Tamandua tetradactyla: one gene and its partner. The protein of the gene in region 1 purifies or fractionates together with the protein of each later gene. This does not show direct contact. Links are inferred from orthologs where the notes say so. Each region holds a gene or a part of one and is shown on either strand. Other genes may lie near its edges.

Evidence for each region.
Region 2: the proteins of UBE3A (region 1) and PSMB1 purify together in Homo sapiens (affinity purification with mass spectrometry, with the first as the bait; 3 studies listed by BioGRID). This does not show direct contact. The link is inferred for Tamandua tetradactyla from reciprocal best matches to the Homo sapiens genes UBE3A and PSMB1.

Annotation. Positions count from the first base shown.
Region 1 is NC_135338.1:78,190,448-78,198,069, reverse strand, and holds the start of UBE3A (ubiquitin-protein ligase E3A), read right to left. Parts: upstream 3,018-7,622; 5' UTR 2,450-3,017; intron 2,184-2,449; exon of another isoform or gene 1,346-2,183; 5' UTR 1,279-1,345; intron 1-1,278. UniProt on the Homo sapiens protein: E3 ubiquitin-protein ligase which accepts ubiquitin from an E2 ubiquitin-conjugating enzyme in the form of a thioester and transfers it to its substrates.
Region 2 is NC_135330.1:84,881,539-84,888,828, forward strand, and holds the start of PSMB1 (proteasome subunit beta type-1), read right to left. Parts: upstream 3,016-7,290; 5' UTR 2,924-3,015; coding exon 2,811-2,923; intron 1-2,810. UniProt on the Homo sapiens protein: Non-catalytic component of the 20S core proteasome complex involved in the proteolytic degradation of most intracellular proteins. This complex plays numerous essential roles within the cell by associating with different regulatory particles.

The DNA of each region.
Region 1 (7,622 bases):
CGCATTTCATATACCTTAATCCTCAAAAAAACCCTGAGGTAGCTTTAGCCATCCCATTTTACAGATGACAAAACTGAGGCTCACCAAGATTAAATGACTTGCCAATCGTGAGATTGCTGGAATAAGGCCACAATTAAAAACAGGGTCTAATTTCCATTACAGATACTATGAGAGCTCTGATTATATTTTATCTTCACAGTTGGAGTGGGGTGAAAATTATCAAAACCAACCAAAACTCTGTTTCCTGAACCATCAAATTGTCCAACCTTTATTCAAGTAGTTTATTTAAAAAGCTACTTTGGAAAATTTAGCTTCACTATGAATTAGAAAGCTGATTTTTTAAAAACTGCATATGCATTTAATATAATGTTTATTATAGGTCTATATATAAGAGTGCATGGGGAACATAACCAGTAAGGACTTAAGAAACATTTGGATACATCATTTCAACTTGGATTGAAAAGTTTACAGACAGTTTTGAAACATTTCACTGCTTGCAATATTGAAAACAGCAAATTATTTCGGATTTTTTCAAAGGAAAGTGAGAAGGGTATTAAAATAGAAATAACCTCAAGTTTCAGAAATCTTAGCTATTAAAATCTCACAGGTCACAGACATTTTAGGCACCCAATAAATCTTAGTAAGTATACTGGGGAAGTGGGATGACAATGTGTTAATATGTTATATGTCAAACACACTGCAGGTACACAATAAATTTTGTTGAAGGGACTGGGCAAGTGGGATGAGAAGTGTTCTCAAACCTCTGACTAGTAAGTACCCGTACTTAAGAAATTAATTTTAAGCCATGAAAAAGTTTCAATATAAGAAAGATAAAATAAAAACACCTTACATAATATCTGAAAAGACATAAAAGCACTATATTTTTATTTTTATAAATTATAGGCAGATTCCTCAGGGATGGGACAATGTCCAGAAAATGACGTACATACTACCACTCACAACAGTTAATAAATAGTGACACAGTAAGACTTCCGTAGTTTACATTTTAATTTTGTAAATGAGTTATTCATTTAAGTTTTTACTTTTTTGTAATGCTTAATAGTGTTTATTTAAAGCACTTCTTGTCAGCCTTAGGACTCTTCAAAAGCATCATTAATATTGCATTCATCTCATTAAAAATGCTATATATACCTTAGACTTAAGAGTCGGGGTCTAATTCCAAAGCTCTCTCATGCATATGACAAAACTTCTCTTCTTTTCTCCTGAGTTGTAGATTTTATTTCATGGCTTGAAAATAATTTAAGTAAGGGTACTTACTAGTCAGAGGTGTGAGAACACTTCTCATTCCACTTGTCCAGTCAATTCAACAAAATTTATTGTGCACCTGCGGTGTGTTTAACATGTAACATTTTAATGCTTGTACTTCTTAAACTTTAGGTCATTTCTAGTTCACCTTCCTTCTCCCCACCCCCAAAATGTCTGGATAATTAGTTGCTTCTCTCAAATACTGCAGGAAATGGAATGATGTAAAATTATTGGTTAAATTCATATTTCATCATCACCGAGGGTTAACTTTGGACAATAAATCCCATCTGCTATTAGTTTACTTTATTAACAGCATTTTAGCCACTTAATTAGAATTCTAATCAGATTCTGTATTGTCTCTATTTTAGCACACCCATAAGAAGTTTTTAAAAATTTAGAGACTAAATTATCTTTCTAGGACGCTAAACTTAACCAAACAATGTCTGTACTACATCTATTTTTAAAACCCTAATGGCCTAAAGCATTTGTCGTATTCGATTTTGGCTTTTCCAATCAAAACCTGCACACCAAAATGAGCAAAGTTCCCTTCCCATTCTCTCAATTAAAAGGAAAAAGAAAAAAGGGGGTGGGGAGCAATTATTTGCAGGTCTGCATTTAATACATTCTCTGGCAAACCCACTAACTCGCATTCAACTTTAGAATCTTGGCAACGAGGAACACTTGAACAGTCTGTGAACGCAACCCTGAGGCTTGACACGCCAGTTCCTCCGTCGTCTTCCCTTCCCATCAGTCCACCTCCCCAAACCCCAATTCACCAAGCATACGCCTGAAGATTTCTTCACCAAGAGAGTCCAAGACCTCGAAAACATCGAGAGCGCTTCCCTTGGCAGGGAAAGGACAGCTCTTTCCTGACCTGGACCCTGGCTCAGCCGGCCTTTCAGCGAGCCAGGCCTGCTCTTGCAGTCCTGGACGCCCCACCCCAGGCTCGCTCCTGTACCCTCAGGCAACAAAACCCTCCCTTCCGCGCAATCAGGACTGACAGTTACAGAGGCAGCAAGCTCTGCCAGAAGGGGCCTAATTCTTGCACCGGCCCCCCGAGACTACGCGCCCCCAAATACTCACCCTGGCGAGAGGTGGAGGGTTCAGCCCGAGAGGACAGAGGAAAGAAGGCCGCGCCCCACTCCGCCTGGCCCACCCGCTAGGCCTCTGACAAGACACTGACCTGCCGTCGCTCCCGCGCTTGGGCCGCGGACCTCGTAGCGGCAGCCGACTCACTGGTCGTCGTCGCCCTCTCCCGCCGTCTCCGCCCGCCGCCTCCGCCCGCCACCGCCTCGTTCCCCTTCGCTGCCGCCGCCACCGCCGGGGCTCATGCGGGACCCGCGCTTCCTTCTTTGGAGGCCGAGGCCGGCAAAGTGGCTAGGGACGCCGAGGACCCCACGCTCGTCGCCAGCTGTTGCTCTACCGCTGCCTGTCCACACCGGGGGGGCTGCGGGCCTGACTGGCCGGGGATAGGCCGCGAGCCGCTCAGAGACCGCCGGGAGGAGAAGCCGAAGGAGGCGCCGCCGCCCGCGGCCGAAAGAACCGGATCGGCGGAGGCGAAGCAGAAGGCGGCAGCGGCGGCAGCTGTCGGGCGCCGGGCCGGTGGCTGGCTACGTGGCGGCGGGGTGCGCGAGCGAGCGGAGGGCGGGTTATCGGTGCCCTGTCGTTTCCTGCAGTCACCCCGAGCCCAGCGCCACCATCTTGGGAGAAACACAGAACTCGCGGCCGCAGCGCAAGCCGGGAGGACTGGATGGGCGGGCTGAGTATCCCGGCAGGCTGCGCGCGCCGCGGCCTGGAGAAGGCTCCGGTCGGGGACGCGGGGACGCGGGGCGGGGCCGGGACGCAGGCGGGAGGGCTCCGCGCCGCAGCCTCTCCCAACCCCACCGTCTTTCCTAGCCCGCTCCGGTTGCCGCCGTCCGCCGCGCGCACACACACACACACACACACACACATACACACACACACACATACACACACACACACCTCAGTGCAATCGCCGCCGGCGCAGGGATCGCTGGGAAGAGGAGGTATCCCGCGGCTACGCTGAACCTCTCGATGTTCCGTCGCCATCTTGGAACTAGGCCGGAGAAGCAATTCTGCCACCGAGCCGGGCTGTCAGCGATGCAACAGAAAGCGGAGGAGATACTTTCCGGAAACCTCCTTAGTCTTTAGGAGGGTTGGAGAGCCCCCTTGTCCACCCACCCGAGAAACGTGCTGGGACTTGGTCGCCCCTGTTTTGTCTGGAACGAGTCGTCTCCAAAAGGCAGCAGAGATGGCACTGATAGCCCCCAGCCCCGAGGCGGGATAGAAACCTCCTTCCCTGCTAGATCTTTGATCCCATCCTCTTTCTACCTGAAGCCGCCCATGTAAACACTGCGAATGTAGCCCGAGAGTGTGGGCCAGCTTTCAGAGGCCAAGGTCATCTGCTTAGTCCTCTTGCTTATTACAGGATGTGTCACTAGTTTACAAAAGAAGAAAAGGTAAAAGTCAGTTAACTGCAGTACTGATACATGTAGGTTGTCTCTGAAGAGATGTGGCGTCTTGGTTGACTCCAGTTGCTGTGTTGAGGTTAATTTTGATCCTACTGACAACTGAACCTATTTAAAGCCATGCAAATTGAAATCATATTTGGCATCAGGGTCCTCGTCTTATTTTAAAGAGATTATTTATGGCTTTGTAATACTTGATAACAAAGCTGTAATGATATCATGAACAATTAATACTCCTACAGGTTTTCAACTTTGCCAACAAACTCTTTAAACAGTGTTCCTATTTGATGGTAGCATAACATTGTGCATATAATTAGCAGTAGAGAAATATAGATCTGAATGTGGCTAAAACGGGAAATGTTAGAATGCAGGTATACAAATAATAAAAATTTTTTTAAATCCATGAAACTATACCACACAAACAGGAAACCCAAAGTTAAACCATGGGCTAAAGTTAATAGTACAATTATCAAAACGTGCCATCATCAATTGTAACAAAGGTTCCACAACAAATGCAAGGTGTTAATAATAAGGTGATATGTGGGAATCCTATATTTTATGCATGATTGTTCTTAAACCCACAACTACTATAATAAAGGGAAAAAGGCACGTTAGAATAAAATATTTGGAAAATTAAGGAAAGCCAGTAAAAAGAATATTGTGTGTTGCTCCATTCAAGCAATATTCAAATTTTTATGGATACAATCATATATAGCAGTATAGTTTTGTAAGTAATATTATTAGAGTATCCTTTTTTTAATATAGGCAGGAATAATTAATAGAACCCCTCTCCCAACTATAGAATATTTAACCAGCTATTAGAAATAAGCTGAAGACATTTAGATTATTCCAGAATTGAAAGCCATGTCCGATTTTATGATGTTTTAACTTGGGTCCTTATTCAGTTGCTACTTCTATTTTCATTCACTCCAGTTACAGAGCTTCATTTGGAAACTACTTGCAGTTGTATTTTATGGAGGGAAATAATCTTTTAAAGGTTTATATTTATCTTTATTTTGATACATAAGCCAAGAGGAATGAAAATCATTAAAGACTTTCTTGTTAGAACTAAAAGCAAAATGTTACCACTATAACATGTGAAGACACTTTTTAGCTATTCTACTTTCTCTTAAGTAGAACTTGAATAAATGAATGTTTTAAAACTTGATGTATCAAAATGTGTCTGAAATCCCTGAGTTCCAAAAAGGTTAGACTTGAGGGAAATAAATCTACTCTTAGTTAGATGTCTAAATGACTATCCAGTTATTTATTAAGATATTTTGATGTTAGTAGGGCCTCTTTGGAATCTCGGAAATTACTCATAGCCATTTTAGTTCATTAATGTTAAATATGTATTCTTGTGTGTGAATTAGCACCTGGGAGACTCATAGCCTAAACCTTTTAGTTCATTAATTGTCTCCCATTTAGACCCATGTTTTTCTTCAGGTGTGTCTTCCCAAAAAAATTACTTGGTATCTAGTAAGTGAGCAGTAAATTTTTTAGACTATTTTAGTTAAAATGAGATCCAGTCATTTCTAATGATTTTCTCATTTCAGGTGTAAAGTGAAAGTGTAATTTAATTTTTTTCAGCATAATGCGTTAATTCCTTAAACAAACTTTGAGCTTGTACTATTTACAAAATACTGTGCCAGGCCTTGAGAAAGAATAAAAGATCAATAATCCCTATCCCTGTCCTTAAGAGCTCACAGTTCAAGGGGAAGTCATACCTGGCCACAGTAAAACTGTGGACAGTTTATCAGAGTAATTCAGTTCTTTAATGATCATGAGAGAATTCACTAATACATTTTTTTTTAATCATCTTGCTGTAAATTTCTGGTTGTATTAGTTGCCTAGGGCAGCGATAGAAAATTACTACATCCTGGGTGGTTTAAAACAACAAATTTATACTTCTACAGTTCAGAAGGCTAGAAGTCCAAAACTTGGGTATTGGCTGGGTTGGTTTCTTCTGGAGGCTCCAAGGAAGAAACGATCCCATACTTTTCTAGCTTCTGATGGTTGCCTTGGTATTCTTTGACTTGTAGACGCATCCCTCAGGTTTTACCTCCATCTTTATATCGTCATCATCTCTGTATCTATCTGTGTGCTCTTCTCGTCTTTTAAAGACACCAGTTATTAGATTTGGTAAGATTTTATCTCAAGATGCTTAACAAATTATGTCTGCAAAGACCTTATTTCCAAATAAGGTCATATTCTGAGATTCTGGTTAGGCTTGGATTTAGGGGACACTGTTCAACCTACTACACCGGTGATGTTAAAATTTTCATAGGGCTATTTTGGTTCTTTAGCTTTCTTATTAATGGGAGTTACAACAGATTAATTAAAGTGTAAAAACATGGGCAGGCCACAGTGGCTCAGCAGGCAAGAATGTTTGCCTGCCATGCCAGAGGACCCAGGTTCGTTTCCTGGTGCCTGCCCATGTAATAATAAAAAAAAAATGTAAAAACACTATTACTCAGCATGCCCCTGGATCAGGATTAAGCTGAGTGCCTGGATGAAAAGAGGGTCAGATATGGTGGGGTAAAGTCACTGTTGCATACGTTACTTGGTAATAACACTTGTTTTTAGGCTACATCAAAATGTTCAATTCCCAACTATTGAAAGAAACTAAGCTTTCATTATCTGATTCGCTCCCTATATTTAACTAATGTTTTTGAAGCAAAATTAGTTCCATGTAGAAGAGTACCTGGCACATGGTAATTATGCACTAAATGTTAATGCTTGCTGTCTCTGTAAACCAACATGGCAGGTGAACTCTCTGTGCTCCCCCCTACCTGGGGCATGTCTCCCAGAGGTGTGAATCTTCTTGGCAGCGTGGGACTTGACTCCCAAGGATAAGCTGGAACCTGGCATCATGGGATTGAGAGGGCCTTCTTGACTTAAAAGGGGAAGAGAAAAATGAGACAAAGTTTGAGTAGCTGAGAAGTTTCAAACTAAAGAATCAAGAGGTTTTCCTGGAGGTTGTTCTTATGCATTATGTAGATAATCTTTTTGGTTTATGTTACATTGGAGCGACTAGAGGGAAGTACCTGAAACTGTTGCGCTATGTTCCAGTAACCTTGATTCTTGAAGACGATATATAGTTTTTACTGTGTGTAACTATATATAGTTTTTACAATTGTGAAACCTGGTGACTGGCACTCACTTTATCCAGTGTAGGGGCGGATGAGTAAAAAAATAAGTATAGGAAATAAATAATAGAGGGGGAATGCGGGGTAAAAAAAATTGGGGTTAATTGCAATACTGATGGTCAATGGGAGGGATGAGTGTGGGATATGGGATGTATGGGCTTTTTCTTTTTCCTTATTTCTTTTCTTGCAGTGGTACAAGTGTTCTAAAAATGGACAACTATGTGGTAATGTTATGGGCCATTGATACTTTGGATGGACTGTATATGTGTGAAGATGAATGTGAATATTATCGATATCATTATTTACCATTACACACTTCACAGCTTTACACCTCCACCCTTACCCCTACAGATCTATCTAAATCTGGACACCTCCTTACCTCCTGCCTTCTTCCTTTCTAAGGCAATATTTTTTTTCTTTTTTGGCATGGGCAGGCACCGGGAAATTAGGCCTTTTTTTTTTTTTGTCTTGTTAACACTTCATCATTCCATCTCCAGTCAATAATCTCTCCTGCTCTACTGAATTTGTTCCCTTGTATTTATAAGAATTTTCTGTGCTTAAATTGCCACTTCCTTCCAAGGCCCTCTTCAACTACTAAAATTAGGCTTCTGCCCCCATTTTACTCCACTTTGCTTGTGTTAATGTCACTAATGGCAGAACAGCCAAATGCAAAACACAGTTTTGCTTGTAACTAACATTTTTGCAGACTTCCATACTG
Region 2 (7,290 bases), on another chromosome or scaffold:
AAAATAAAACAAGAGCTAAAAATTCTCCTCTGTTAAACAAAACTTAAGCTAGAGGTCCAGATAAAGATTACTACAACATATTTTACATTCATATAAAATGGGAAGGGGAGCTGCTCTAATAAGACTAATGAAATAGGAACGCAGCAAGGCGAATAGAAAGAAACAGGTAAATCCAGAATACATTTAAAATGAAATGAACAAGTTTTTCTGAAGAGCCAATTACGACATACAAGATTTTAAACTTGGATGAACACAACGGCATTATAAAGATTATAAATAAGGAGAGCTGATTAAGAGAAATAATTAGCTTTTTTCTTTTTGTAGAAATATACTATAAAAAATCAGAACTGAGGGACTCATGAGAGGCAGAGGCAGAGAAATAGATTTGGAATTATCCTTCTGGGGATGATGATGCGAGCCAGACTGAGATATGTGAGAGTGCTGGGTGAAAAACACAGAGGTTAATAACTTGGGGTTGACTACATTTAAAGAGTTAAGAGTAGACAGAGGACATGAGGGCAAAGACACAAACTTGATATTTGCACACCAATGTTTATAGCAGCGTTAGTTACAATTGCAAAGAGATGAAAACAGCCAAAATGTCCATCAACATACGAGTGGCTAAACAAACCGTGGTATATACATACGATGTAATATTATGCAGCCGTAAGACAGAATAAATTTATGAAGTATGTAACAACATGGATGGACCTTAAGGACATCATGCTGAGTGAGATTAGCCAGAAACAAAACGACAAATAGTGTATGGTCTCACTGACATTTGTGAATAAACTTGGAGAATTTCATTGGTAACAGAGACCATCAGGAGATAGAAATAGGGTAAGATGTTGGGTAATTGGTGCTGAAAGGATACAGATTGTGCAACGGGACTGAATGTAAAAACTCAGAAATGGACAACACAATACTACCTAAATGTAATACAATGATGTTGGAACATTGAATGAGGCTGAATGTGAGAATGACAGAGGGAGGAGAGCTGGGGGCACAAACGAAATCAGAAAGAAAGATAAGACGTTAAAGATTGAGATGGTATAATCTAGGAACACCTAAAGTGTATAGTGATGGTGACTAAATGCACAAATTTAAAGAACGTTTTTGCATGAGGAAGAACAAAGGAATGTCATTAGTGCAGAGTGCCGAAAACAGATCATAATTAATATTTTAAAATTTTACCTTACGTGTGAGACTAAAGCAAAAAATGTTTATTTGGTACTAAATTTAAAAAAATAAAATAAAGAGTTAAGAGTAGAAAGATGTACAAAACTAAGCCTTATGCTGTAGAAGCAAAAAGTAGAGTTTTAAGAGCCAACAGCAATGAACAGTAAAGAAAAAGAACAAAGTTTGAGAAAAGGTAACAATATAACAAAGTTTGAGAAAAGGTAAGAATATAACAAAGTCTTGAGTAACTTTTAAGGCAGTAATGGCATAAATTAGATTACAATGGGTTAAGAATGAGTGACAAGTACTGAACACTGAATGCCTTGAAAATTCTTCTTATAAAGAATTTACAGCTACCTTATGAAATGGGTCTAATCCACCTTACAATAATATAACAACGAAATTAGTTATCACAGGAAGTGCTGAGAAGGAGCCCACAAAAACTGTTGGGTGAAAGAGATGAATTCAAGTGTTGGCTCAACTTCACCCCAGTTCTGTATGCTGTTGTAGCCAGGGACAATTTAATTTCTAAGAGCCTCAGGTTCATTTGTTAAAAAAAGAGGCCAATATCATCTAATATTCAGCCACTAGGGGAACTAAAGTAACATAACTCCTTGCCATTTATAAAATGCTTCTCATTTGATTCTCCCCCAAAATTTAAGAACTAAGGTAGATGAAAAAAATTGGGGCTCAAGAGGTTGAGAGAGGTATCCCATAACTGCACAGCCCTTTGGTGGCAAAACTAGGTCTAAAATCGCAGCCTTTAACTCTTGGTTTCCAACATACTCTTGCTTTCCAACAATCTGCATCCACATTTCAAATTCATAAGGACCTAATCAATGTTTTTGGTCTTTCTGAACTATCTGTTCGAATTGTACGCAATTTTTTCTACAAAGTCTGACTGATAAAGTATAACCACCGCTTCTATTTATAGCTCTTCACTGTCAGAGTCCTAACTGATTCTTCTGGTACACTACCAGGGGAAAGTATTACCTTAAAAAAAAAAAGCTTGTTACCAAAAAACATGAAAAAATACACATATCAAAAGGGACCCCTTCTGAGCATTTTTTTCTGGACTTAAGCTAAGCTTTCTAAAAAAGAAAAAAAATGAATAATCTATTAAGTCTGGCCAGCTTCAACTTATGAGAAAATGATTAAGCTTTTGACTACGTTTCAGCTGCAACAAAACTAGCCTCTACCAACGTGGTTCAATTATAACGTTTTTATTTCAAATCCTGAACCTGTCCTAACCTGCTGACATGGGAAATGTGTTCAAACACGACAGGGTCTTCCACACAGCAGATGTTTCCCTTTCTATTTACTGCCTCGTTCCGGCAAGAAGCAAGCTATACCGTAAACTAGTCGTCCACATAAAGACCCAAACGACTAAACTGTAAGAAGAAACCCTGAAAACCGCAATGCGAAACCGAGCAAGCCAGGCATGAACAGAGAAACACAGGGAAAAGGAGAAAAGGGAAGGGGTTGTGCCGCTGCGTGAACGCACACAGCTAAGGGTCCTGAAGGCCTGAAGGGTGAGACAGGGCAGGGCCTTTCCCGCCGGCGACCCCAAATAAGCGTCTGCAGAGTGGACAAGGGCGAAAGTAAAAGCGGCGGCTCTCGATGGATTTTACCCTCCATTGAAGGCGTAGGGTGAAAAGCGAAACTGGGAGGGACCCGCGGTTCTGTATGGCTCCATCCCCAGCTCTCGGTCAAGACCACAGTGCATAGCTGCTGAAGATAACATAGCTCAGCCCCAGATGCAGCTCCGGCTCCGACACCTGCTGTCTCACAGCAAGATGGCGGCTCCAGCCGGAAGTGACTTCACTTCACTTCCGGAAGTGAACACGTCAGTTCCGGCTGCTCCTCGGCGCCCACCTCCAAGCCGCTCTATCATGCACTCCTCGGTGCTCCTGGAGGTCACCGGCGCTGCCAGGATGTGTCGGTACCTCGGCGCTCCCTAGTCCAAAAAAAGCAGACAAAAATGTAAAGGGCTTGTGGGTTTTTTTCTTACGGAAAAATTCGAATTCCCTCCGAATGGCCAAAGATTTAAAAGTCTGACCATATAAAATATTAGCAAAAATGAGGAGAAACGGAAACTGGAAAACGCTATTGGTGGGAATGTAAATTGGAATAGCCAATTAACAGATTAGCGTCTAGCATAATTGAAGATACGCATACCTTGTGGGCCAAAAGTTCCAATCCTAGGTATATACTCTAGCCATAAAACACGTAACGTAAAACCAAAAGACATGCTTACCATCTGCAAATCCCAACCTTGCTCCATACCTTCCTTGGCCTGCGTAGACGCTGTAACCCGCCAAGCAATGCGCAGTGCTGCTCCGAATGCCCTGCACCCGCCCAGGACCAGCCTCCTAGGCTTTGAGTTCCAGTGAACTGTTACCTTGTTGCTTATCAACTGGCCTGCTTCATTTTTCAATCTTAAGGGTCCATCGAATTTAAGCAGACTCTATTCTGCAGGTTCCTGGCAAGACAAGGTGGACTACACGATATATACAGAAAATCTGGGATCAGAAAATGTTTTTGAAAGTACTTGTTTAATTAAATGTTGAAATATTTTCCATATTTCCCATAAATAAACAAAGGATTTTCTTTGATGTTATGCAGAAAGAGGTATTGTACTTATTCAGTTCTCTCCATAGGCTAACAAGGTGCCAGATATAGTACGCGATACAAAAAGCATAGATAACACTTCCGATCCTTAAGTTGCTGACCACCTCACTGATAAAACAGAAAAAATAAAGAGCAAATAAAAAACAAAGCAGTACAATATATGATTATTCATTTTTAAAAAACTAGAAGCGAGAAATCAAGGTGTGCTGGGTTCTAATCAAACATACAGAAGTAAACGAACTAAGAAACAACTAAGATTGCCGAAAATGGTTGGATTAGATAGGGTTCTCTGAGAGAAACTGAACTGGCAGATACATATATATATATATATATATGTAAATATTAAGAGACTTATAGGAATTGGCTCACAGAAACTTGGGGATCGACAAAACTGAATTCCATAGGGCAGGCAGCAAATTGGAAACTCTGTGATGATGTCATTGAATGCCCCAGGAGAAGCTGACTGGCTGAAGTAGAGACAGAAATTCTTTCTGACTGCTGAAATCCTCAGTTCTTTCTTTAAGGCCTCCAACTGGTTGGATAAGAAGAATCCTCTCATTGCTGAAGGCAATATCTTTTTTACATTATAGATGCAATCAACAGTAGATGCAATGAACTGATCAATGACTTAAATCCATCTCAAAAGACCCCCACAGAAACAATAAGACCAGTGCTCGCTTGACCAAACACCACCATAACCTAGCCAAGTTGACAACTGAGATCAACCATCATGATGTTACTAGCAGAATTATAAATACAATTGAATCTCTTTATTAAGGCTATCTTTTTGTTTTACTTATCATTATATATTTTTAAGAAGAATTAGGTAACCTTCAATGAATGCTTACCATGTGCCAGGCACTGTTCATCTATTAACTGAATCTCACAACATCTCTGCAGGGTAAATAGTATCATCCCATTTTAAAGACGAAGAAACCCAGGCACAGATGTCAACTGCCAAAGGTTACAAAACTACTTGGTTTAAATATATATTTTTTCTTTTTTTTTTTTAAGCATATATTGCTTTCCTGCATCCATCACCGACCAATTAGGAAGTATTATGGCAAAGCGGCCCCGCCCCAGAACTCTCCGAAGAGCTCCCACCCTAATTTCCCGTAAACCGAGCGCTCAAGGAATAGGGAAGCGACATGTGCCCACACTTCCCATGGCCGTCACTCGAGCATGGTTAGCTCGCTGAAGCCGAGGGGGCACTGGCGGAAGTGACGTCATCCAGCGCGCGCCGGTGTTTAATAGGGTCGGGAAGGGTCGCGGTGGCGGGTGCCCAATCTGGTTTGTGTGGGCCAGTGGCGGTTACCTCAGAGACTCCAGGTAACGGCCTCTTTGACTCTCTCTGTTCTCGGGAGGGCTGTGTGTGCGGAAGGATGGCGATTCGTGCATCGAGGTCCTCGGGCCGATGAAGGGGGAGGGGACGCGGAGCTGGGCGCGCAAGGCTCCGCGGGCTGCCGGACGTTCCTCCCGGCCCGTGCCGCCCACCGGCCGGCCGGTCCCCGCTGCCCGCCTGCCTCGGCCGCTGCCCCCAGCCGGGTCGCTGCACGGCTGTGGTTCGCAAGGCCGCTTCCCGCCGCGCAAATGTTGGGTGCTGAGCGTTTAGAGGGGCCCAGAGCGGAGGACAGCCAGGTGTGTCGGAAACCCATAATCTTTCCTGTCCTTTTCTGTCATGCCTCTTCTCTTCGGCAGTGGACGGTGGATTAACTCTGGCCTGGGCCTGCTGGTTTTGCTCCCATGCTGGTTTTATCGTGAAGTTCTGCTTGGGGCCTTTTTAGGATTCTCATAATCCTGAGACTTCGGGCTCGGTATGGCTTCTCTTAAATAAATAAATTCGCACTGCTGTATTTACAATGCCTACATGTCTGGAGTCAGGCCAGTGTGATTATCCAGTGTGAAGCTCCAGGTAACGTTCTCTGTGAAAAGAGACCTCATACAGACTGCTGGATGGGTTATGCAGACGCTAGAAGACTGTGCAGAATTCATTGGTTCTCTTCACTATCAGTCATTGCCTTCAGAAAACAAAAGAGCTTGTTTGATGTCTTCAGCTTCCAAAACATGGAGACACTCTCTCAACAATGATCTTTTCTAAGGATAAGTCAGTACAGTTGATATAGGTGAGGAAGTGGCAGTCTCTCCCATCCTGGAAGTGATGGGCTATTTCTGGGATTAGCGCTGAACGATTATGACGTAAGACTCCCAGTCTAGGTTCTCAGGCTTCTTTAGGCTTTTAGTTTGTGAAAGATAGTCTATAGATACCAAAGGCTCTGGATAAATTTCTAGGTAGTGATATTTACGGTGCTTTAAATCCTGCCTTGATTATCTCTTGCCTTAACTACGCAGCGACCCCTTAAACTAAGCTTCCCTTCTCTAGTCTTACTACCCTCTAATTCATCCACATTTTTGCCAAAATAGCCCTTCTGAAACACAGATCTATTCATTCTACGCTTCAGGATTGTGTAACTGCCATTAGTGCCTATGTGATAATGCCCAAAATTCTTCATAATGGGATGCCAACTATATTTTCTGTCTCATCTCTTGCACCTACCCTCTAGATAACTAAACTAAGCTGCTTTTATTTTTCTTCCCCTTTGTGCATGATCTTCCTTTTGCCTGAAATACAGATTGAGTCTTACCTTGCTAGACTCAAATCACATGGTCCTTGCTTTGTGAAAACACTGCCTTGTCTCCAGAGTGCGTCACAGTTCATACTTCCTTCTCTTCCATACCATATATGTATTCATTCATGTATATCTACATTCACTCATTTATGATCGCATAACTATGTTCCAGGCCCTGTGCTTGGTGCAGAAATTGCAAAGACACATATGCCTTCCATGATAGCACATACAAAATGTTGCAGTAAATATTTGCACACCCTTCAGTTGAATGATGTCAGTGGCTATATCCCCTTTGTCTTTATACTTTATACATTTATATTATTATTTTAGGGTTACAGTGTCTAGAAAAGTATACTTTTCTTACATCTCTGATATGTTTATTTTCAGCAGCACAGTTTTCTTTTTTCATTTTGATCTTACTAATAGAGGGTATTTTGAGTTTTAGTATGTGTTTGGTTTGATTTGGTTTGGTCTGTTTTTGGTGATGAGTATGTAGAAAATGTAGTCTTTGGGAACTTTCGCCCTCTCAAAGTGATCATCAGATTCTTTTATTCATTCAGCAAATATTTGAGTGCCTGCTGTGAACCAGGCACATAATTGAGATGTATGTAGTTCTTTTATATTTAACCTGCAACTTTGAGACCTGTAAGTGCTATATGAGAACTTTTTATTAGATGATAAATGTTTGAATAGAAATGTGCATTAAACTTCAAACTTTTTCAGAACAGCATCGCTTATCCTCAGTGTGCATGAAGATAACCCAAAGAGTTGAGGAAATTGGTAGGAGTGCACTGGTGATGCTCCAGGGAAAAGACTGAATGCTGAGAGAGATTCCAGTCCAAGGGTTTTTGGT